Linked DNA regions of Cricetulus griseus. The protein of the gene in region 3 interacts with the protein of the main gene of each other region in a pairwise test. Links are inferred from orthologs where the notes say so. Each region holds a gene or a part of one and is shown on either strand. Other genes may lie near its edges.

The links. The genes of interacting proteins can lie anywhere in the genome.
Region 1: the proteins of Pin1 (region 3) and Thap7 interact in binary tests that used the Homo sapiens proteins (3 or more experiments, as listed by UniProt). The two-hybrid records come from large-scale screens. The link is inferred for Cricetulus griseus from reciprocal best matches to the Homo sapiens genes PIN1 and THAP7.
Region 2: the proteins of Pin1 (region 3) and Cnksr1 interact in binary tests that used the Homo sapiens proteins (3 or more experiments, as listed by UniProt). The two-hybrid records come from large-scale screens. The link is inferred for Cricetulus griseus from reciprocal best matches to the Homo sapiens genes PIN1 and CNKSR1.

The regions. Positions count from the first base shown.
Region 1 is NC_048597.1:71,784,275-71,789,452, reverse strand, and holds Thap7 (THAP domain-containing protein 7), read right to left. Parts: upstream 3,529-5,178; intron 3,385-3,528; coding exon 3,305-3,384; exon of another isoform or gene 3,269-3,304; coding exon of another isoform or gene 3,204-3,268; intron 2,919-3,203; coding exon 2,763-2,918; intron 1,454-2,762; coding exon 1,313-1,453; intron 1,111-1,312; coding exon 561-1,110; 3' UTR 287-560; downstream 1-286. UniProt on the Homo sapiens protein: Chromatin-associated, histone tail-binding protein that represses transcription via recruitment of HDAC3 and nuclear hormone receptor corepressors.
Region 2 is NC_048595.1:19,071,951-19,077,230, reverse strand, and holds the start of Cnksr1 (connector enhancer of kinase suppressor of ras 1), read right to left. Parts: upstream 3,529-5,280; 5' UTR 3,224-3,528; coding exon 3,172-3,223; intron 931-3,171; coding exon 773-930; intron 649-772; coding exon 467-648; intron 1-466. UniProt on the Homo sapiens protein: May function as an adapter protein or regulator of Ras signaling pathways.
Region 3 is NC_048597.1:133,537,837-133,542,396, reverse strand, and holds part of Pin1 (peptidyl-prolyl cis-trans isomerase NIMA-interacting 1), read right to left. Parts: intron 3,321-4,560; coding exon 3,102-3,320; intron 1-3,101. UniProt on the Homo sapiens protein: Peptidyl-prolyl cis/trans isomerase (PPIase) that binds to and isomerizes specific phosphorylated Ser/Thr-Pro (pSer/Thr-Pro) motifs.

The sequences.
Region 1 (5,178 bases), about 62 Mb from region 3:
TTACAACTTGACAAGTGTAGCACTCTATGTTGGTTTTGAGGCTCTCTAAATGGGGCCATGAGTGAGCAGTTCAAGGGACTGGTCAAACGGATGAGGCCTGTGGGCAGAAGCTTGTTGTGCCTCTACATAGGTACCCAGTCTGACAGTGGGTATGATGGCACATGCCCATCACTCTACTCAGAAGGTACAAGGAGAATCAGGAGTTCAATGTCATCTGTGGCTTCAATAACACCAGCCTGGACTACATGAAACCCTGACTCGAAAAAAGGAGGGAGAAGGACAGAGCTGAACTCAAAGGAGCTGGCTTTCTTACTTGAAAGAGTGAGTAAATAAGTGGAGGGACTGCAAACAAAGATTCCCCATGGTCAGGAGGGTGCATGTCAGGGCCTGATCCCTCTGAGGCTTTGGCCATTGTCTAGGGAGGAGTCTGGCACCCCCCAGCTGAGCCAAACAGCAAGGTCTCTTTCTAGCATCCACTTTATTGTGACTTCCGGTCAGCCTGGTGGATGTAGTTCCAATCAAATACCTCTGAGGAAGAGAGACCAGAGCCTTGGGTGTCCTCATGCCATGCTATTGCTCAGCTGCAAAGCGAAGTCCTGTACATGGTCCTTCAGGGTCTGGCGGGCATCTGCCTGTGCCCTCTTCTCTCGTGCCCGTTCCTGCTGCAGCTTGGTCAGTCGAAGTCTAAGCCGCTGTTCCCTACGTTTGCAGGCCTGCAGCTGGCGCTGGGCCTTGTCCAGAGCATCAAGAGCTGCTTCAGCTCTCCTCTTCCAGAGCAAGGCACTCCCCACTTGGTAGCTGTGCTCATTCTGGATGTAGGCTCCAGCAGGTGGTGGCAGCCGCAACATGTAAGCAGATGGGGAGATAGGCCGTGGCTCAAGAGGGGAGGGGTGCTGCTCTGGTGAAGGCTGGGCACTACAGCCTGCTTCCTCTGCTTGGGCACCTACCGGGCCCAGAAGATCTGAGAAGGGGCTGTTAAGGCCAGGTTCCAGCCTCACAGCTGGGGATGCAGGCAGAGTGGCAGGCGCTGAGGCTTCTTCCACAGGGAAGCAGATGATGTCAGCAGGAGGTGGAGAAAACAGGGTTGTGGGTCCTTGACCTTCAGAGCAGCTGGAGGGGAGACAGAAACTGACTAGCCAACTAAGAGCATGCCAGGACCCTCATACACCCACTTACACTCCCTAACACCTGAGCCCCTTCACTGGGTCCAGGCAGCAAGAACCCTGTTCAGTGAAGATGCTGGCACTCACCCTACAGTTCAGTCCCTCAGCCCTGGGGGGAGGGTGGGGCATCTCCCTCCTTCAGCACATACCGCTTCCTGCATCGCCGGAGCCGGCTGACATCAGGCAGGCCAGGTGGATAACCATGCCCCTTGGTCTTGGTTGTTCGACGTAACTTGGAGAAAGACTCAAATATGGTGGGGACTGCCCCTTCCTTCAGCCTGTGATACCCACTGTGGGGAAAAGCAGCCCAGATGAGGTGGAAATAAAGTGCTGCCACTTCCCCTGGTCCCAACATAGCTCCCCTCAGCACTAGGGCTATGGGCTTCATGGCACACTGCCAATAATCTGAAGAATGCCAAGTTTGGTAGAATCCAACTAGTCTGCCCTGTGAATGAGCATCCAGACTTGAAGTGAATGGACAACGCCTCCCCACCCCCGCACGGCTAGGTGGACTAGTCAGAAGTCTCTCATTTGTGGGCCTGCTGGAAGAACTAGGGGCCAAATACCCCAGAGAAAAGCTATTTTACTTTTGTGTGGATATCAGAGGCCTTCTTAAAATTATTCTCCACCTGTTTTTAAAGATTTCTTTTTTCTCCTTAAAAACATTTATGTGTATGGGTGCTTTGCCTGTACATATGACTATCCACATGCCTGGTACCCACAGAAGTCAGAAAGAGCACTAGATCCCTGGAACTAGAGTTTACTGGCTTGTGAGCCACCATGTGGATGATGGCAAATGAACCCAAGTCGTCTGGAAGAAACCAGTATCTTTTTTGTTTTTCAAGACATGGTCTCTCTGTGTAGCTTTGGAGCCTGTCCTGGAACTCACTCTGTAGACCAGGCTGGCCTCAAACTCACAGATCCGCCTGCCTCTGCCTCCAGAGTGCTGGGTTTAAAGGTGACACCAGTGACAGCTTGAAGCCTCTTAACCTCTGAGCCATCTCACCAGCCCTATTTATGAGTATGAATGTTTTGCCTACATGTACAATGTGTATGTACCACCTGTGTGCCAGGGCCCTTAGAAGTACGAAGAAGGCAAGGGATATCCCTTGGTGCTGGGAATTGAACCCTGGTTCTCTAGAAGAGTAACAAGTGCTCTACATTGTTAAGCCATCTCTCCAGCTCACCCACATTTTTTCTATCTATCTATCTATCTATCTATCTATCTATCTATCTATCTATCTATCTATGAATGACAGTGTCCCCTTGAACACAGGTCTCAACAACTCATCTAGACTAGCTAGCTGGCAGGAGCCCTGGTATCTTTTAGTTTTGTCTTCTCCAGACCTGGGAAAACTGTCTTCCCAGCCGGGAAAGGCTGTTATTCTCGGATGCTACTGGCATGGTAATCCTGGGGCCATGCTTTACTGCACACAACTGGGAAGAGGTCACAGCACCCTCGACATAGGTGTGCCTGTCTGTGAGCGTGCCAGCCAGCCGTTCATGGGCTTCACCAGGGCACAGAGCCGCCCCACTTGCCACACTCACTGCTCTGATGCCTCACCACCTGTTCAAGTGTCATCTGGCAGAAAAACCCACCTGATTCCCACCAGCTCAAAGCAGTTTTCCTCGAAGTGTTTGGAGCAGAAGTAGATGTACTCAGAGGCCGGGTCCCACAGGCCCTGGCCGCTGGGGTCCAGCCGCTGACAGTTGGCCAGCCACAAGCCGCGCCTGGGGTTGTCTTTCTTGGGAAGTCTGCAGAGCCACAAAACCGTGAGCACCAGACTGCTGCAGCCCGCGATCAGGATGCCCAAGCTCCCCAGGCAAGAGGGGCAGACCTCCCCGCGACCCTTTCGGATTACCACCCGCTAGGAGTAAACTGAGGACGAGAGAAGGAAGGAACAGGGCCTGCTTAGCATCACCTAGCAGCAAAGAGTTAGAGCTCCAAGTCCAAGGCAAGAAAGCGCCCAGTCCTTTTCGGCTGGATTCGGGACTCCTCGACCGCCCTTCACCCTCCCGCTCACAAAGTTCAAGCCTCACTTCGACCTCAGGAAGGCGCTGTCTCCTGCGCGGCCTAAAGTGCAGCAACACCAGCGCCTGCGCATGTGAGCCCTCGCGTGCCACTACGCACGCGCGCTGACCTGTGGAAGGAGATGCCGCGGTTGCGAGTCTCGCGCGTATCCCGTGTGCAGCAGCCGGCGGCGGAGCAGTGTCGCGGCATCTGGGGAAGGGGTGGGAGCTGGGTCGTGGGCGGCAGCCGGGGGGAGGGGACTGCCTTCACGCCCCGCCGCCACTCCCTCCAGAGGGCCTGAACCTGCCGGCTCCCCCGCGGCCCGACCTCGTCCCAATCCCGTCCTAACTCGTTCTATAGACTCCCGTCAGCGGTACTCACGGTCTTGCCATTGCTGCGCCGCCAAAGTCTCGCGATGGGTGGGTCAATGCGGAAGTTGGGAGCGTAGGGACTCCGTAGCGGGCTGCGACTGCCCTCAAGGGGCGGGACCGGAAGAGATCCTGGCGGGCCGGCCACCGGATGTTGGGAGTGCGGGCCGATCGTTGCCGCTGAGGTGCTTGAGATCCCCGGAGCGGCCGTGTCCTCGCTCCCTTGTTTTGTTTGTGTATCCAGGGTGACTACCGAGCGCTCGCCGTTAGGACTAAGCAGCCCCGGTGCGATCTGTAGTGCTCCCTGACACTCTGGTTGAAAGAAGATTCACCACCAAGAAAAATCTGGGCTCTTGCCTGAAAGAACCCCGCCAAGGGCCCTGGGTGACTCGGCACTTTCTGCCAACCCTGAGGATCCGAGTTTGATTTCCCTGCCCGCCATGGTTAGAAGGGAAGAACCAATGCCCACTAGTTGTCCTCTGACCCCCACATATCGCACGTGTGCATGCATGCGTATGCACAAGATAAAACGTAAAGACAAAAAAGAGTTCTTAAAGTAACGGAATTAACTGCGTCAGCAGAGGGACTGCAAACACGGCCAGGAGGGTCTGAGCCCACTGGGATTTTACCGCTGTCTCAGGAGAAACCTGGCACTCCCAGCTGGGCCAGGCAACAGGATCTCTTTCTAGCATCTACTTTGTGACATTAGCAGTCCTGGAGGGTCCATTTTAGATCAAGGTCTTTAAACCAGTGCTCAAAACTGAGTGCAATCTGGGGACATAAACATTTGCCAGCCGAGGAGGAAAGCTAATGTAGAAACCTAGGTTTCTACAGCTTGGGTGGAACCCCAGCTGCGTTCACACGCGGTGTGAGGGACTTCATTCTTCAATTTAAAACAATGTGTGTTGCCCCAATTGACTTATCTTGTTAGTAACTGAGCATATAGATATGCCTATTAATGTCTTAGAGAAAACAAATGTATTTGCTGCAGAGGAATTTAGTAGTTGGCCCTTCCAAGAAAGGCAGCTATCTAGACAGGGAACTTTGTTTTTTGTCTTGTTTTGTTTTTAAAGTACTGTATGAAGTAAAAGTAATGTTAACAGTAGGGGGGGAGATAAAGATATAACTGCCAGCCACATAGCTGCACTCAGTATTCCCCCCCCTCATTCTGCAGAATCCACAGCCATCTCTTAATAACCCTTCCCCGAGGCTGCCAGGTCCTCTGGACCTCAGAGAACACCCCTCCACACCTGCTGTCACATAGATGTGCGTAAAGGCCTCTCTGGCATGCATGAGGTTGAACTTGTGATTTAGGTGAGCCCAGGCCTCTTCAGTGGCAGTTGTTTTGCTGAGCATACACATGGCCTGCTGTTCCTTGGCCAGGTCTCCCCCAGGGACCATAAAGGGGGGCTGGTAGTTAATGCCTGCCTATCAGAAAAAAGGAAAATACAGTGGAGTTTATATTGGCCTTATAAATGACAGTTTGTTAAAAAGTTGAGAACTGTGGACCCACTTTGAACTGTAAAAGCTAGTATTATACTTTTGAAAATAACTAACATTTAACATTCTTTTAAAATTTCATGTTTCAGATTCACCCACACAGACACACACACAAAAAATTAAGGTTGTATGTGGG
Region 2 (5,280 bases), on a different chromosome or scaffold from region 3:
GCAAGGCATCCCTGAGGAGGTGACATTTGAGGCAAGACACGTAGGACAGACAAGTACCAGTGAAGGGCAAGTTCTCCATCCAATAGCTGTGAGGGACCAGGGAGACTGCCCATCAGTGGTAAAGGTGCCTGCGTTCAACACCCAGGACTCACATGGTGGAAGGCCAGAACTGATTCTTACAAGGGATGCACTGACCTTTGCATACACTCCTGTGCCCCTGCCCCATATATATACACACACATGCACACATAAATGTCAAACAAGCAAACATAAACTCAACCGTTGATAAAACCATTGAGATGACAAGCCCCATGGTGGGGTGGGAAGCAAGGTGGCCCAGTGTCCCTGCACAGACAGACTCTTTGATTTGCTCTGACATATCAAGAGTCAAGGACAGTTATTCTCTCCCAGGCCCTGGAGGAGACCAGGGATAAGAAGAGTCACTTTGTTACCCCATCCCTGGTACCTGTTGAGCCAGGAGAGGAGGGCATGGGCCTCCCGCACCAGCTCTACAGCAGCAGCAAGGACATCGGCAGGAGTCTCAGCACAGTCTCCCAGACGGCCATGGACCAAGCTTTGGAACGCCTGGGTCCTTTCCAGCAGCCCCTGAGCCAGGCTCTGCAGATTCTCTGTCTGTAGCTTGGAGCCCTGCATCAAGAACGGGCATATTATTGCCCCCTCAACAGCCAGCCCACACGGGCAAACCCCTAGACTGGTGGGTGCTACAACCAGTGTGGCAGATGCTATGGCCATGTGGCCAGTGCTTACTCACCAGGGCCCGGAGCTGTTCCACCCCTTCTAAAATGAGCTCCTGGTGGCCCAAAGGCCACACAGTCAGAGCCTCGAGGCTCTGGGGACAGAGCTGCAGCAGGTACTTTCCAGGCAGCTCCCAGTCTTCGAAGGGGTAGTCCTGCAGTGAATCATCAAGGCCTGGAGCAAGGGGTCAGCGTCGGGAAACAGGTGTCATTACCGTTCTGAGTCTTCATTATATCAGAGCCCTCCCCCTCCCACCTGTCCCCAATGACAACCCCGAGACCTGGCTGGATTCTGCCTGTCTTGCAGCTGATGCTACTGAGTGGAGAACCATACACAGCAGCGACTCTGGCAAGTGTATCCAGCCTACTGACATTGCCATCCACCAAATTCGTGCTCGAATACCTTGCAATCCAGTTATCAAAAAAACAAAAAAAAGAGGCTAGCGAGTTGCTTCAGTGGCTAAGAACAACACACACTGCTCTTGCAGAGGGCCTAAGCTTGTTTTCCTAGGACTCATAGCCCAACCACCTGGAGTCAGGGGGACCCGAGCAGGACCTAACACTTAAGATATTTACTAGTTCTGTGCTTAAATTTCTTCACTTATAAAACAGGAGAGATGGAGCAGGGCAGTGGTGGCACACGACTTTAGTCCCAGCACTCCCAAGAGGCAGAGGGAGGTGGATCTCTGTGAGTTCAAGGCTAGCTTGGTTTACAGAGCTGGTTCCAGGACCGCCAAGGCTGTTCCACAGAGAAACCCTGTCTCAAAAAAAAAAAAAAAAAAAAAAAAAAAAAAAAAAAAAAAAAAAACCCAAAAAAACAAAAAGAAAAGAAAAACCCAGGAGAGATAGCTCATTGGTTAAGAGCACTTACTGTTCTTACAGAGGACCCTGGTTCAGTTCCTAGCACCCACATGGTAGCTCATACAAACATGCAGGCAAAACACTCATAAAGTAAATAAAAATTTAAAAATAAATAAAATGGGGACATCGAAAGCACCTGCCTTCTAATCATGTGTTTTAGAAAATTAATTCATGTGTGCCAAACACTTGGTTCATAGTCAGGAAGTAACAGCTATCACATTGTTGCCAGGCTGTCTACTGTGACCGTACTTTATGTGAGGCAATGCTTTAAGAACTTTACCCACAGTCAAGTGTGGCGGCACAAGTCTTTAATGCCAGTACTTGGATGCAGAGACAGGGGGATCCCAGAGTTCAAGGTCAGCCTGGTCTACAGAGTGAGTTTCAAGAGAGCTGGAGCTACACAGAGAAATAAACCCTGTCTCAAAAACAGAAAAATAAAATGAACTTTACCCACAATGGCATTCCTAGAAGTTGGGGGCTACACATCATCCCTGATACACAACTGCAAAAACCAAAAGAGGGAGAGACAGTGGCTTGCTCATGCTTTGGAAGAAAGCCTCCCATCCCACCAGGCCCGACTCACTGGGGAATGTGTGTAGTCATTAGGTGTTCCTCATTCCTCCTGTAGCATTAAGAGTCCTGACTAAGAGCTCAATAAGCCAGGGTTATTTGGACCACTTCCTTCCCATGTTGAATGTGTTGGGTTGACTCCCTCTCTCCCCGAACACACTAAAATTGAGCTACACATTGCCAGTCACAACCATGGTCACGTTTTTGTCTAGTTCATGAGTAGAGAAGCTGAGACCTGTGGTCACAGACCTGGTGAGTATTAGTGCTGGCTGGGGCCCCGGTCTGGGAGTGTGATTGCAGTTCTACTGGGCTGCTCACACTGAAAAGGCCTCCAGCAAGCTCCAACTGCCCATGAGAGCAATGGCTGGCCTCCCCACTGGCCGCTGCAGCCACAATGGCCTTCATTTCTCTGAGTCTGCCTGTGTTTGTATCTCTTGGTCGCCTGGGGAGTGATCTTCACCCCTTGAGAACGGCGGCGGGTTCTGCTTCTCTCACTGTCAATCTCAGGCTGAGGAGAGGGGAAAAGGACACCAGGGCCTGACCAGTTCCAAGACTGAACAAATCACTTCCTGGCTGTGTGCATGTTTGTACTTTCGAAAAATGGGCTTAATAAACAGCTCACAGGGCCCTGGGGCACAGGGAAGATGACGGAGATAAAGGGGGCGTGGGCCACAAGGGCCACCCTGTCTTTAGTTTAGTACTGCACCTGCCTGTCGCCGCCCTGGCGGGCGCTTGAACACACACATACAGAAAGACCCCTTCTTGCGTCTTAGTGCCTCTGACGGCTCCTGGCCTGTCTCCGTCAACGCGGTGCCTATTCGGAGGACCCTGGTCACTGGTACATGGCAGACAGCAGACGCTCTATAAATACCTGTTGACTAATAGACTCGGCGGCAGGTTCTTTCTCCTTTCTCCCTCCTTACTTTCTGCCAAAGGGACACCACACTCTTCCCTTCAAGTCCACCTCTGCCCCCGGCTCACCAACCTCTCAGCCAAGCTGCCACCTTCGCTGGGGTCCAGGCCTCCACGGGCTCCATGCTGAGCTCCGCCCGCAGTGTCCGGCCCCTGCAGGAATTTCCGCTCCCAGATCCAGCCCCGAGCCCGCCGGGCTGGGCCAGGGCGGGGCCGCCGCATACCTGGGCCCACGTGGCCACCCAGGTGAGGGACGGCGACTGCCATTGGCCCACCGTCTGTCTTCCGCCTGCCCTGCCCCTTTAGCATCCTAGGACTTTGGCAGCTAGCTCCAGGGCTGACGCCACGGGGGTGTGACTCGGACAGTCCGGAAATGGCATGAGATGCAGTCCAAAACTGGCTTCACCAGGAGGATCCCTGTGAATTTGACGTTAGCCGAGTCTACACAGCTGAGTTCCAGGCTAGACAGGGCTGGCTGTGTAAGGAGGCTTTGTCTAAAACAACAAAACAAAAAACTGGCCCCTTAATCTCAGCCTGGGATTCTGACTTCTCAGCACCTACACAAGTGAACCTGGTGTATGGTTGGTGCACAACAGCGCATCGCTAGTCCTCCACCCCGGGGTCCCCGTGATATGTTATTGCCGTCTGGAGTTGTTGCACAGGCAGCTGACCTGGTGCTCACTTCTAGGGCACAACTGTCCTTGATTCATGGGACATCTGTGAGTATCCGAGCAAATGGCTTTAAATGTTTAGAACAGGGGGTCATGGTGATTCTGCTTGTAATCTCAGGACTCTGGAGGCTGAGGCAGTGTGAATGGCTCCAAGTTGAAGGATGACCTGGGCTACAGGGTGAGCCCCTTTCAAAAACACAAAAATGAAACAGCAGAAACTAAGTAAATAAAAACCTTCAGCATGGGACTCTCTGCCTCCTTATTTTGCATCCTTTGACAGTCTGTTGAGAATTAAAGACCCTTTCTCAAAGTAAAACTTCTCATTAATTCAGTTATTATTTTAGGGCACAAAGAGCCTTTATTGATTACCAATGAAGAGGAAACATACCAATCATTCCCCTGGAGAGACACTGGCAGACACATTAGCTGTCTTCTGAATGCATTTCTTATTCTTGCTACAATTTCTTGTTTTCTTTTTCAAGGCAGGGTTTCTCTGTGTAGCTTTGGAGCCTGTCCTGGAACCAGCTCTGTAGACCAAGCTGTCCTCAAACTCAGTGATCCACCTGCCTCTGCCTCCCAGGTGCTGGGGTTAAAGGAGTGTGCCACCATCGCCTGGCTTCTTGCTACACTTTTTGAGATGCTTTTTATTTTTGCTATGTTGCTCAGACTATTCTCCAAATCACGAATTCAAGTGATTCTCCTGCCATAGCTTCCCAAAACAGCAGGGACCACAGTTTGTATCACAGAGCCAGCTAGAATAATGCTTAAAGCACAGCACAGCTGGGGCAGGAGAGATGACTCAGCAGTCAAGAGCTGGCTGCTCTTGCAGAAAACCCCAGTTCAATTCCTAGGGCCTACATATTGACTCAACCATCTGTAACTCCAGTTCCAGGGGATCTGATGCCCTCTTCTGGTCTCCTCAGAAGTTGCATACACATGATACACACACATACAGGCAAACACCCTCCCCCCCAAAAAAACCCCATTTTTTAAAAAGCATAGAATAGCCGGGCAGGGGTGGCACACACCTTTAATCCCAGCACTCAGGAGTCAGAGGCAAGCGGATCTCTGTGAGTTCAAGGCCAGCCTGGTCTACAAGAGCTAGTTCCAGGATAGGCTCCAAAGCCACATAGAAACCCTGTCTCAAAACACCCCACCCTACCCACCCCCCAAAAAAGCACAGAATAATTTTTAGGATTACACCTTTAATTCCAGCACTTGGGAGGCAAAGGTAGGCAGACTCTATGAGTCTGAGGCCAGCCTGGTCTACATTGTGAGTTTCAGGACAGCCAGGATTATGTAGACAGACCATTTAGATACTCTCAATAAAACTTTTTTATTTTTTCGGTTTTCCAGATAGGGTTTCTCTGTGTAGCCCTGGCTGTCCTGGAACTAGCTATGTAGACCAGAGTGGCCTCGAACTCACAGAAATCTGCCTGCCTCTGCCTCCCAAGTGCTGGGATTAAAGACTCTCAGTCACTGTGCTATACTCTGGGCCCTCTCATCCTTTA
Region 3 (4,560 bases):
CAGAAGACAAGAAAAGCAATCTCAGCAGGAACCTGATGGGGAAAGTGAGAAAGGCACAGGTCTGTGGTGGCTGGTGAGAGGGAATCTAGAGGAAAAGCATGGGGCATAGACTTTTCCAGAACTGGGACTCAAAGAAACTTCTGTCACCTAAGCTACCGAGCTTGTGGCACTGTGTTACAGCGACTAAGGGACAGAATGAACCAAAAGGATGTTTCCTCATCCTAAAAGTGTTTAGACAATCCCCTTGCCCATCTCCCAGTTCACAGGTGGCCATAAGGGAAGAGACTGGTTATGGAAGAGGTAGTAACATCATTGGATATGCTATCCTAGAAGACCCAAGACCCAGCAGGAGGGGCCCAGAAACCCAGCCACAGGCCATCAGGCTGGCTGGGCACCACTCCACCAGAGGAGACAGCTGATCCTTGAAGCCTGGGGAGGGTGCTGCATGTACTCTTATTCTGGACCTCCCCAAATTCTGGCCTGGATAAGTGGAAACAAAGCAACAGAACAGGGAGCTAGGGCCTACCCACACACAGCCAGACTGCCTCAGACAAGGACACGGTGATGACACTAGCTGGGCCTCAGGTTTCTTCTGGCAGTTGCCCAGCAGCTGTGGAGGAACCAGTGCTGAAAAAGGAGCAGGGATGCAGAGGTGCTGCTTCCAAAATGGGCAGTCTGTTTCCTCAGGGCAGAAGGAAAACTGATGGTACCTTCCAGACCAAGGCAGGCAACTGGGGCAGGCACTGTCCCTATCACTGTTACCTGATTCCCCTGCAACAAGTTCTGGGTTCAAGGTGAGCCAGTGTCTCCAAACAAACATGGGACTGGAGAGTAAACCACGGGTCAGTGGTTCAATGATGGATGAAGAAATTATTTGGTTTTTTGTTTTGGTTTTTGACCTTTGTGTTGACTTTAGAACTCAACACAGAATTTTCTTCTGGGACCTAGGTTTGGGTCCTGGCACACATATGGCAGATTATGACTGCCTAGTTCCAGGGGATCTGATGCCTTCTTCTGGCTTCCATGGGTAGCAGGCATACATGTGGTATATATACATACATGTAGGTACTCACGAATACACATAAAGCAATCCTAACAAATCATACAAAGGGCCAGCAAGATGGCTCAGCAGGTGATTGCACTTGCTGCCAAGGCAGATGATCTGAATTTAATACACAGGACTCATATGGCAGGTGAGAGCTCACCCCTGAGAATTGTCCTTTGACTGCCACACTTGAACACACGCCATTTTCATACACATAAACATAAACACACACACACCCAAGAGATGGCTTAGAGTACTGGCTGCTCTTACATGGTAGCTCACAAATCTACCTCCAATTTAAGGGAATGCGATGCCTTCTTCTACCTTCCACTGATACCAGGCACACACATGGTGCACATATATACATACGGGCAAAAGACACACACATATATTTATCAAAAATAGACAGCCTGAAAAAGAAAAAATCTTATAGCAAAGAAAGAATGATTGAATAACAAAGTCTGTCAACCTTGCTGTAAATTACAAAGGAAAAACTGGAAGGGGCCAGCCTCTGCCTGTGGTACAACTGACTCATCACTCTATAAGATCAGCTCTGTGCTTACCAGACCATCCAGATGCCCAGGCTCCTCCCTAAAGGGCAAAACTGACTCCTGTCAATGCACTGCTACAGTGGCCCTTGGGATAAATATAAATTAATGTTCATTTAACAGAATAGAAAATTGAGTCCTGAGTAAGGCTCTGAGTTTCTCAGACCACAGAGCTTACCAGACACTGCCACTAACTAGGGTATGCTGGCTTTCTAGACCTGGTGGCAAGTAGAAAGGAAAAGAGGGAGGGGCCTACATGGGCCCAGCTCATCCCAAGTATAGGCACTTTTTTTCAAGGTCTTCAAGTAGCCTAGACTGGCCTTGAGCTCAATATGTAGGACCTAGAGTTCTACTTGAAAAATTTTCAGGGGCTGGAGAGATGGCTCAGAGGTTAAGAGCACTTAGTGCTCTTCCAGAGGTCCTGAGTTCAATTCCCAGCAACCACAAGGTGGCTCACAACCATCTATAATGAGATCTGGTGCCCTCTGCTGGTGTGCAGACATGCAGGCACTGTTGATATAATAAATCCTTAAAATAAAAAAAAAACAAACAAAAAACAAAAAAAAAAAACTCATGTGACAAGTGTTTTCACTGAGGTCAGAGGACAACTTGAGGGAGCTGATTCTCTCCTTCAACTGTGTAGGTCCCAGGAACTGAATTCAGGCCCTTTGCCCACTGAGCCATCTTTCCAACACCAAGCTTGAATTTCTGATCCTTCTGACTCTATCTCTATGCTGAGATTACAGGGTGCAGGGTACTAGAGACTGAAGCCAGGGCTCCCTGCAAGCTGGGTGAGCATGCTAACAACTGAGCTATATTCCCAGTTCAATACAAGCACTTCTCTGGAAGTTGAGCAGACTGGGTGGAGGGAGGGTCTGGTGGGACTTCTGAAAGGCCCCCATGATGGGTAGTGCTTATTGTCTATGTGGCAGAATGACCTGGAAGATGTGCTACTGGGAACCCTGTGGGGACCATCTTGATTATGTTAGCTGATGTGGGGCGACCCATCTCACTTGTTGGCAGGACCATCCCCTGGGGTAGGGGATCCCAGCCTGAAAACTAGAGAAGGTAAGTTGAGCACTAGCACAGGCACGGTGTTCTTTCTTCCTGACAATGTTGTGATGCCACTCTGACTCTCTTGCTGTGGGGAACTATGACCTGGAATGGAATGTGAGCCCAAACAAACCTTTCTCCCTTAAGCTGCTTCATTTTTTAAAACCTTTTTAAAAGTTTGCAGTTATTGGTTGGGAAGGCAGGGGTGGGGGAGCACAGCAGCACATATGTCATGGTGGGCTCGGGAGGCAAGAGAGAACAACTCCCAGGAACAGGGTCTCTCCTCCTACCACATGTATCCTGGGAATGGAATTCAGGTCCTCGGGTTTAGCAGAAATTGACTTTGCTGGCTGAACCCTCCTGATGCCCTTGTCAGGGTGTTTTGTCACAAAACAGGAAAAGATAGCCACACCCCTCCAGAGGACCCCCAACAATGCCCCATCTCTCCCACTCACCATTGATCAGCTCCAGGGCCTCTTCCTTGCTCCTGGTGATCTTTTCCTGCCGCCAGGAAGAGGGCCTCCGAGACTGGCTGTGCTTCACCAGTAGGTGCGAGCAGCGCACCCTGGCAGGCTCCCCCTGGCCATTCTTGCTACTGCCTCCAACACTGCTGCCACCACTGGGCCGCTCCCACTGGCTGGCGTTGGTGATGTGATTGAAGTAGTATACACGGCCTGGGGGAGAACAGCACCTATTTAGCTGAGGCTGGGTTGAGGAGGACTCTATCCAGAAAGCCAGGATGAGGACTGGCTTAGGAGGATGCTGTCCCCACCAGGACCTGTCTCAGACAGGACTGTGCTAATATTCTAGGTAGATACAGACACTAAACTAGCAAAACAGAAAAAACAGCTTCCAGGTCTGCAGGATGTCTCAGCAAGGAAAGGAATGTGTCAGAGTCTGAGAACCTGAGTTTGAACTCCAGGAATTGCCTAGTGGAAGGAGAACCCACCCACCCCAAGATGTCCTCAGGCTACCCTACAAAATAAACATGATCAAAAGTTCAAGAACATTCTCAGCTATAGTTTGAGAGCAATGTTGACTACATGGGATCCAATTTAAAAAATATACAAACAGCCAGGTGTTGGTGGCTCATGCCTTTAATCCCAGCACTCGAGAGGCAGAGGCAGAAGGATCTCTGTTGAGTTTGAGGCCAGCCTGGTCTACAGAGCGAGTTCCAGAACAGGCTCCAAAGCTACACAGAGAAACCCTGTCTCGGAAAAACTAAACCAAACCAAACAAAAATACCATGGGGCTGGGATCTAGCTTACTGATAGAACAGTGCTTGCCTGGCATTTGTGAGGTTCTAGTTCAGGTTCCAGTATCAGACATTCACCAAAAAGGTAAGTATGGCGGTTTCTATCCATCGCTCCACTGCAAACAAACCAGGCTTCACCTCCCACCTCTGCTCACAGCAGCAGCTATATCTTGTGCACAGACAGAGGCAGATACCTCAAAGGAGGGGGGGTTCAAGACAGGGTTTCTCTGTGTAGCTCTGGCTGCCCCGGAACTCGCTCTGTAGACCAGGCTGGCCTCAAACTCAGAGATCCACCTGCCTTTGCCTCCGGAGTGCTGGGATTAAGGTCGCACGCCACCACTGCCAGGCCCAAAACTTTATTCTTAATCCTTACCCTGGTGGCCTAAATTGAAGAGCAAGAAAGCAGCATTACTGGGGGGGTTGATGTCATCTAAGGGACATCTAGGTGACAGTGAGGAGCATAAAGAAGGTAACTCAAAAGCTTAAGGGAAAAGCCTGGCTTGATGGGGCACAGTCTAGAACTAGGGAGGCTGAGGCAAGAGGATAGGTGTCTGCTGTTTGAAGCCAGTCTGGGTAAGTTTGCAAGACTGTCTCAAAAAAACGTGAAGGAGACCTGGTTGTGGTGGTATACACATGTAGGATTTGCTGAAGGAGGTGGA